Linked DNA regions of Oryzias latipes. The protein of the gene in region 2 purifies or fractionates together with the protein of the main gene of each other region. This does not show direct contact. Links are inferred from orthologs where the notes say so. Each region holds a gene or a part of one and is shown on either strand. Other genes may lie near its edges.

Evidence for each region.
Region 1: the proteins of arid4a (region 2) and brms1 purify together in Homo sapiens (affinity purification with western blotting; 3 studies listed by BioGRID and IntAct, with this or other methods). This does not show direct contact. The link is inferred for Oryzias latipes from reciprocal best matches to the Homo sapiens genes ARID4A and BRMS1.

Annotation. Positions count from the first base shown.
Region 1 is NC_019876.2:12,603,355-12,607,716, forward strand, and holds the start of brms1 (breast cancer metastasis-suppressor 1), read right to left. Parts: upstream 2,840-4,362; 5' UTR 2,708-2,839; intron 929-2,707; exon of another isoform or gene 818-928; intron 738-817; 5' UTR 732-737; coding exon 506-731; intron 425-505; coding exon 334-424; intron 229-333; coding exon 101-228; intron 1-100. UniProt on the Homo sapiens protein: Transcriptional repressor. Down-regulates transcription activation by NF-kappa-B by promoting the deacetylation of RELA at 'Lys-310'. Promotes HDAC1 binding to promoter regions.
Region 2 is NC_019880.2:2,469,722-2,473,979, forward strand, and holds the start of arid4a (AT-rich interactive domain-containing protein 4A), read left to right. Parts: upstream 1-1,440; 5' UTR 1,441-1,789; intron 1,790-1,820; exon of another isoform or gene 1,821-2,614; intron 2,615-2,623; exon of another isoform or gene 2,624-2,727; 5' UTR 2,728-2,776; coding exon 2,777-2,782; intron 2,783-3,882; coding exon 3,883-3,993; intron 3,994-4,258.

The DNA.
Region 1 (4,362 bases), on a different chromosome or scaffold from region 2:
GAAGTCCAAAATGCACATTGACGTGCATTTACGCCTGAATGTGCGTTACTGAGGCGGGGTGAACGTAGCTGCAGAAGGGAGGAGGGTTTTTTTCTTTTACCGGCGACTTGCGTCCGTATCTGCATGCTGTTCTGCAGAGCCGTCAGCGGCTCCCGGTACTCTCCAGCCTTTCCTGTCAGCACCTCATCCAGCTTCACCTTCACCTGGTTCAGCCGCTCCCGGAACAGCCTGCAAGCACAGAGGCCCTTTAGTCGAGGTTTTCCTGACCAGTGATGTTCACATAGCAGACCACATCCCATAATACCCCCCCCCCAGTGCCAAGTTTGGAGTTACTTCTCCTTCAGCTCCTGAAACTGTTTCTCCAGATCCATCATTTCATCGAGACACTCTCCTCTCCTCCGCTCACAGTCTTCATCGTCCATCTCTTCACAAAAGGACACATAAAGGAAATTTATTCTCTCTGCATTTTTGAATCACTTCTATAAAAAACCTTTTTTGTTTTTACCTGAACTCTCCTCTTCCTCCTCCTCCTCCTCCTCCTCTTCTTCAGTCTCATCCAGGTCGCTGTCCCTCTCCTCCATGCTTTCCTCCATGGGCTCGTCTCCTCCCCCTCCTGCTCTCGTTTCATTCCGCTTTGGCTCCTCCGTGTCGCCGTTGGCCGTAGGGAGTTGGGACTCTCCTTCTGCCCCCATCTTCTCCTCTGGCTCCCTCACAGGGGGTTGGGCCGGCATGGCGAGCTGGAAACAACAACGACAAGCTCAACGACAAAAGCTTTCAGTCACAAAATCCACATGTCCCTGATGGTCCACAGACCTACCTGAGTGTTACTGAAAAAGGTTTTAGTCTGTCATCTTAATGGTTCATGCGATTTAGAAAATCACAAAGAAAACCAATGAATCCATTTAAAAGAATTGATATACATTTATTTGCATTTCACTGAGGGAAATTAGTATTTGATCCTTTAGTAAGAATTAAGAGTTCTGGTTCACACAGACTCTCCTAATCCTGTCACCTGAATTGAAGACACCTGTTTGAACCAATCCCCTGTAGAAAAGACACCTGTCCACAGAATCATTCAGACTCCAAACTCTCCAACATGAGAGACTAAAGAGCTTTCACTGGATTATTTGGAGAAGATTCTAGATCTGTTGACCCCAAGAGCACCATCCCCACTGTCGAGCGTGGAGGAGGAAGTTAAATCTGATCATACAGCCAAGTCAATCATGGAAATGGCTGCAGAGGAAGCAGATCAAAGCCATGGAGTGGCCCTGGACCTCAGTCCTATAGAAAATCTATGGGGAATGCTGAAGCTTAGGGTTGCTAAGCGACAGCCATTAAGGCTTGATGATTTAGAAGTCATTTGCAAAGAAGAGTGGACCAAGATTCTTCCTGATATGTGCAGAAACCTGATAATCAACTATGTCTGACTTCTGTGCTGCTAATAAGGCTTTTCCAATAAAGTACTACGTCTTCCCAGCAAGACAGTTAAAATAATAGTTTCCCTCAATGAAACGCAAATAAATTCACAAATACTTTAAAATCGATTTCTCGCTTTTCTATCTTTCACTGTTCAAATGAACATAGTGTTCAGATGACAATTTCTTTTGAATGCAAACCAACAAAATCAGCAAGAGATCAAACACTTCCTACACTGTATGTCAGAAATGCATTTATAACATCTGGCAAAACAAATGCTTTTAAATCAAAGCCATATATTTTTTAAAGTATTCTTGTGATGATGTTTGTAAGATATGCGGCATTTGTGTTTTTACTGATGGGATGACCTCGTTTATTTGATAACATTAGGAGTTTTAAAGATTCTTAAAGATGTCCAAACAGTTTTTGGTCTAACAGATTCACGTTACATTATTATACACGTTCTACAGGTGAATTCATTAAATTACAACTACATTTATTCAGTATGTAATGTGGTTAAGTCAAACCTTGACGATGACTTAGCTTTAATAAAGCTACAATAACAAGGGTCAAAACCGGAAATCGATTAGCTAAAAACAAATGCTAAATAAACAATAATTATTTTACATTGCATAACATGGCAAAATGTGTAATAAGCGTGTGGTAAAAACTGAAAATAATTTTTTTCTAAACGTCTAAAGGCCTAAAAAGGTTCAATAATGTTGAAAATTGCCATTTAGGTTTTTATTCAAACCGGAAGTCCGCTTTCACAGTGCTTAACTTGACCAAAACTGGCTTCCGTATGGAGGTAGAGTAAACTGGTAAACAAAATGAAAGCAACGGCGGGATTTAAAGCCTACACTAAAGTCAGGAAAAGAGACGCTCGTTTTGAAGGCTGCACTCACTTAAAAACCCTGTAATGTTTATTTCGCATTTCGGCCGCACTTTCACCACATTGAGCTCAAACACACCTCCGTGAAGTCAAGTGCAACACAAGCTAACAATTGAATCAAAAACGGAGACGGCAGTCACTGCGCACGCATCACATTTACACACGAAGGAACCGCCTTTCTCATGGAAATCTTCTTGAAACGTTTTTATTAATTAAAGATGGAAATTAGCACTCCAGAGAATCATAGGAGCATCTTGCAGACCGACCTGCCAACCGAACTACACGGATTAACTCGAAGAACGCACTCCCTGAGTCCGAGCGGACAGGGGGATGCTATCCGCTACTAACAAACATAAATCATCTTTATTACTGTTAAGTCAGACGTGAAAGCCATCTTACCGTGTCCCTTAGCCGAGCTATGCAGAAGAAACGTTCGGTTTAATGATATATTTCCATTTTGGAAAGTACTTCCTCTTCGATCGGCTCCTCTTCAGTTAGACACTTTGCCGGACTCTGTGAACTGTAAAATCAACCAATCAGCGTCGAGGGCTGCTCCTGACTATCCAATAGGAAGAACCATCCCGCAAGCACCCTGTCCAATCAGAATGAAGACACAGCTTCTATGAACCAATTGTAATTTAGATATACATCTCCAACATATAATTTAAATATAATATAATTAAGTAGAATGAAAAATTGTTGTTTAAACACAACACTACAAGAAAAAAATACAATTTCTGATTATGTTTACGTCACATGAAACGCAAAATGTAAAATGAAATTGAGCATAAAATAATTTTGCTCAACCTCATGCATATACAGCAAAATTTTTTTTGATACGTGTAATAATAAACGGAAGAGCAAAAATATTGACATTAAAAGAAAATGATCCACAAATCGTCAGTTTTACATATTTTTTATTAAAGTTGCATAAAAGTAACAAAATTGGGCAAAAACAAGACCTGTTGTTGATATTGCTACATGTGTTTGTTGGTTTGCCTAATTTTTAAAAACTGTACACTCCCCTAACACGTCTAATCTGCATGGTTTAGCTCTTGTATTTAACCTCAATGGTAAAATCGTTTTTTTTCTTTCCCAAACAGTAAAAAAAAAACCAGACTTGTCAATAACAGTCTAAGAAGACATAATAATAATCCAAAACTTGAACTTTAAAAATGAAAATCCACTGAAATTCAGCTGCTGACTGAACTTGCCTGGTGCAATTTTACTGATCGAAAAAGGGAAGAAAAGTAAAAACTAAAAAACAGCAGTCGATCTATCTGGAAACATCATTGAGAAGGCAAAAACAATCACATCTGAATGGATTTTTCTTCAGCTAACAAATCAGTCCAAGGCTTGGCGTTGAGAAGGGTCGCGATCACAATTTATAAACAGACCAGCATTCAAACACATGGTTTATCTGAACAGCATCACTGCATCAAGGCCTACGGCAAATATGAAACACACCTAAAAAATATTGGTTTAAAAAAAAAAACAGAATCTCAAAAAAGGAAAATCCAAGATTCTCCCACAAGATGTAGCTCCACCTGGTAGCACATCTAAAGAAAAAAGCAAAGATGTCTCCTGTTTATTTGGTTTGTGTAACATAAATAATACCTAAGGCAACATCTGTTTGAAAACAGGAAACTCAAGAGCGATGAGGGAGCAGGACAGGAGGATGCATGGAAGAAGGTAGGAGGGGATGGCAAGGAGACGGTGCAGCAGGATAAAGTGGGCCCCCAGTGTGTGTGTGTGTTTGTGTGTGTGTGTGTGTGTGTGTGTGTCTGCTGTAAAAGAGGCAGTGAAGCTCAGACATCCCTGCAAGTGTTCGCAGTCGCTCAAATGCTGCCGCTTCAGGCTCTGATCTGATTGGCCCAGGATCAGAAACAGATGGCCTCATATGAGGGGAGATGATTGGCAGCTGGTGTCGCGCATCTGTGTTTTTGGAGGCAGCGGTTTGCCAACGCGCTTCCGTGACAGAGAGGAGTGGGGCGGACGCTTGGATTTGGAGTGAGGACTCCGTCCTTTTTTTTTTCGGCTGAAGAGGAGACAGA
Region 2 (4,258 bases):
AAATTCTTTATGTTAAAAACTAATAAAAAAAGAAAAATTCTGTTTCTGTTGTTTGATTTTATATTTTCATGCTGGACTGGTTCTTCCAGCTGATGTAGAACCTTTGGACAGAAGAGCTAAAGTTTTACAACTCCAGAACAAATAAATAAAAATCATAGTGCCAAACCGCACCCCCCTCATGAGGATCTGCCACCCTCTCCACTGCCCTCTTCTGAAAAGGTTGCTTCTCTATGCATGAATAAGTCCTACGCACACAGAGACGGCGAGCCAGCCCACGCCGTGTGACGTTCTGTGGCTTCTAGCGCCAAACTGATTTGACAGCAAAACAATGTCACGTCTGTCAGCGACGCTCGCCGTCACGTGTGTAACATCGGGCAATGGAGAGCAAAAAAACCGTAAAACTTAAAATGACAATTGTTGATCTGATCGTGGGGCATTCAAACGTTTCCGGTATTTTAGAGAGTTCTGCGCGTGTAAAAATGAATTATTCTGACCGAAAAGGTGGCGTAACCCTAACCTTAAACGTTTGTTATGTACACAGTTCAATTCTAATCCCATCTTTGATCCAATCAAAGATATTTTGCACACAAAACCGCGGCTACTGATGCCTGGCTCCAACATGACGGCGTCCATACCGCAAAGAAATGGCGACTGAATCGACTTCATTTGGTACTAAACTATTTTTTTATGGGTGCCGTTGCTCAGTCCAGTTCTCAGCTACACTCAATGGTAGTTTTCTTAAAAAATGTTAGGTACGACTCATAGCATCTTTGAATACAACTTGCTGTTTTGTTTAATGTCTGTCAGTAGATTGAAGTTTTTATCCTGTTTTGCTGGAAGGTAAGTATAAATGACGGTCTAAAATCAATACAAGGAAACATCTGAATATTCTATAGAGGTCAGATAGTCTGCTGTGTCAATTGTTTAAAACAAAAAATAGAGTTAATTGACAAAAATTGTGGAGTTTACAGACAGCGATACTGGAAGAATTCCTGACGACTTTTTGTCTCTTTGGCTTGCCATACTCTTCAACGTCCTCGCGGTTAAATGTTTTGACGGACCACGACAGGGGAAAAAACAACGAAACTGAAATATCAGGCGACCTTTTAATAAAAACGCGTCCAGCCATCATCGAGTTGATCATGTGACTCGGTAAAATAGGTGGTTGATGGCGGCAAAGCGAGTCTTTGCGTGAAGCGAATGTTTTGCAGCGTGTGAATCACGGTAAACACGGTATCGACTCCTGGCTTCTAGGCGCACGCGCGTCTGCGACACCGACGGGATTGTCCTTCAAGTTCAGAGCACGAGCACGGGGGGGAAAAAACGTGTTCGTGTCGAAGGTTTTGTGTTTGGTTCGAAGGTTTCTAGCACGTAGCGGGGGGGGGGGGGGGGGCTGGGCTTCCTGTCCTGTCGGTACAAAGAAGGAAGCCGCTTCAGCCAATAGGAACGTAGCGCTGCGGGAACAAACAGCGGACAGCCAATAGGAATCTCTCCCGTTTCTTCCTCACCCCCTCCCTTCACGTGTCACTTTTGCTGTGACTGGACAGCCGGCAAAGCGTTGCAGTATTTTCTCTCGTGGCGCCGTGTTCGTATGGACCAATAGCAGCAGAGCATGGAAACAGCCAATGGAAACGAGAGAACGCACCCACCAATGAAATGTCTCCGTTGTCACTCCCGCTGTCAGCGCAGCCAATCACGTGTCCAGAAAGCCAGCTCGGGGCTCAACAGCTTGTTGTTCGTGTATCGTTTTGCAGCTCGAGCGAGAGGGGAAGAATTCGCGGCAGTGAATGTAAGAACGAATATTCCTATTAACCGATCAACACCGTTTTTTTTACTGCGTAAAGTGTGTCGGAGAGCGGGAAGAAGAGGGGCGCGCGGGTGTCAGTTGAGAGTGGGGCTGGCCGCTGTACGGAGGCTGCCTGGGAACTGAATGGCAGTGAAGAAATGTGGAGCTTCTGCGCCTTTGTGGAAGGCAGAAGAGCCGCTTATTAAATAAATAAGTTCGCGCAGCTCCCGCTCCGTCCGATGACACCGAATCGCGGCTTTTCGGACCGAACCGCCTCTCATATTCGGAACAAAAGCGATGCGTAGCAGTTGGCGGAGGCTTGTCTGCTAGTGGCAGACAGTTTAAATCACCGTGTGATCACTAACTAGCTAGTTGAGACGCTTGTTAGCTAAAATAGCTCGATGTCGCCGCGAACGAGTCGAGAGAGACGAAGCTCGCGCGCGGTTCGCACTTTTCTGTTTCCGTGTCGGGATTCTGTCGTGTCGCAGAAGCCCGTCCGCCCTCGTGTCGTCCAAAAGGCGGCTTTTTTTTCTCTCCCCCTAGCATGGGACGTGGTAAAGTTAGCCGAGCTAACTCGACTGACATGGCGAGCCGTGATCATGGCGACGTGACTCGGCGGCTGTGGGAGCGGAGCGGGAAGTGAAGGGACTGCCCTCCGCGGGGCTTTTTTTTTCTATCCTCTAGTACCGTCGGTCTGGAACCGGCGGGGATTCGGAGCTTACATTTGGCGGACGCTGTTGTTGGCTAAGTTTGTGTCACATATTTTGCCCAGATCCAGGAGGGAGGGGAGGGGAGGAGCAGCAGCGGGGCAGGAGAACGCTTCAGCTAGTGCGTGGCTAGTTGTTAGCTTTTACGCGGCTCCGGTTCGACCCAGCCCCCGCCGCCGTTCGGCTCCCAGCAGCCCCAGCGCCTCACCTCCCGCTTTGCTTTTTGTCTTCCAGAGATCGTAAGCCCTTCGAGCTGGACTCCCAGTAAAACCCGGACGGAGAGATGAAGGTGAGTGTTTTCCTGAAGAAGACGGCGCCCGCGTCCACTCTTCTTTGAGCCCGTCCATCATGGTGGAACCGGCTTGTTATGGCTGTTCACACCGGGCCGTTCACATCGGTTCTGCTCCGATCCCAGTCCAGGTTCAGAACTTTGGCGTTATTTTCGGTATCTGAAACGGAACCGTGTGTTAATTAGCCCGTAAAGCAGTTTCTCCAGACGCTTAAAGGTCAGTCAGTCAGAAAGTCGTCTGTCATTTTGGATCTGCTCCTAAAGTCCAAAAATAGAAACAGAAATCAGTTGTTTTATCTTTAAGAAAAAGGCACTTTTACAAACACCGTTGATCAAAGAGGATTTGTGACAGGATTCTAGAAAAACGTATTTATCCGTTGAAGGAGGAAAACCGAATCTGTCAAATGGATTTATTCAGATTATCTGTAGAATCTGGTGTTCGTCGGCCCGATGCTCGGATGTATATCGCATCAGTTCTAGGCACAAACGTAAATGTTTGGACGGTACTCGGGTCTGGAAGTGTTGTCACTGCAGAAGTGTGGGTCTCCCTGTAGAAGTTCTCCAGCTACACTTTGCTCTCTGAGTCAGGGAGACGACTGCTTCTTCGGCTCGATCATGAGGCCGCCGATCTGGACCTTGGGTCAGTGAGAGAACCCAAACATCGGCCAACCGACGGCAGAAATGCTTTGGACACGTTGTCGGATTCAGACGCTCTCAAAGTGGCGTAAGAACGGAGAAATGGAGCGCTGCAGTTCAGACAGACCACAATACTTATTAACCGGCTGTGTCTCAACAGCAATGAGAGTTTCCTGTTGGTGTCCTAAAGTCCTGATGGTAAAAATGAGTCTCAGGAGCTCCGGGTTGCTTCCCTTCTGACCGCAGCAGCAGTCGGATGTCTGAAGATGTCCTCCATCACGGCACAGATGGTGCCGTGCACATGCAGAGCTGAACGGGCTGCAGTCCACCCTCGCCTGCCAGTTTACTGAACTTAAATGAAATATAAATTCATCGAAGCTGGATTTTTTTTCTCCTCCTGTTAAAATGAAGTTCCATCTTTTGCTATGGACTCTGTTTGAGAGCAGGCCTGTGTTGTGTTTCAGGCAGCGGACGAGCCTGCCTACCTGACAGTCGGCACAGATGTCAGCGCCAAGTACAGAGGAGCGTTCTGTGAAGCCAAAATCAAGACCGTGAAGCGCATGGTGAAGGTCAAGGTAAGACCTGAGGGGGCAGGTGTGCGCGTGAGCTGGATGTGTGTGTGTGATTGTGCATCCGCAGGATGACGACGGCCCAGGAAACGGGATCAAACCACAGCTTATGCAATCACACCAGCTGATCACTTCCTGTCGATTAGTCACAGTAAAGTACATACAGCCACTTGGACACACAAAGTGTGACATTTTACCTCATTAACACAAACGGTTATTGCTACTGAAAGTCTTCAAGTGAGGTTTGTTTTTGCACAAACGTTGACAGTTT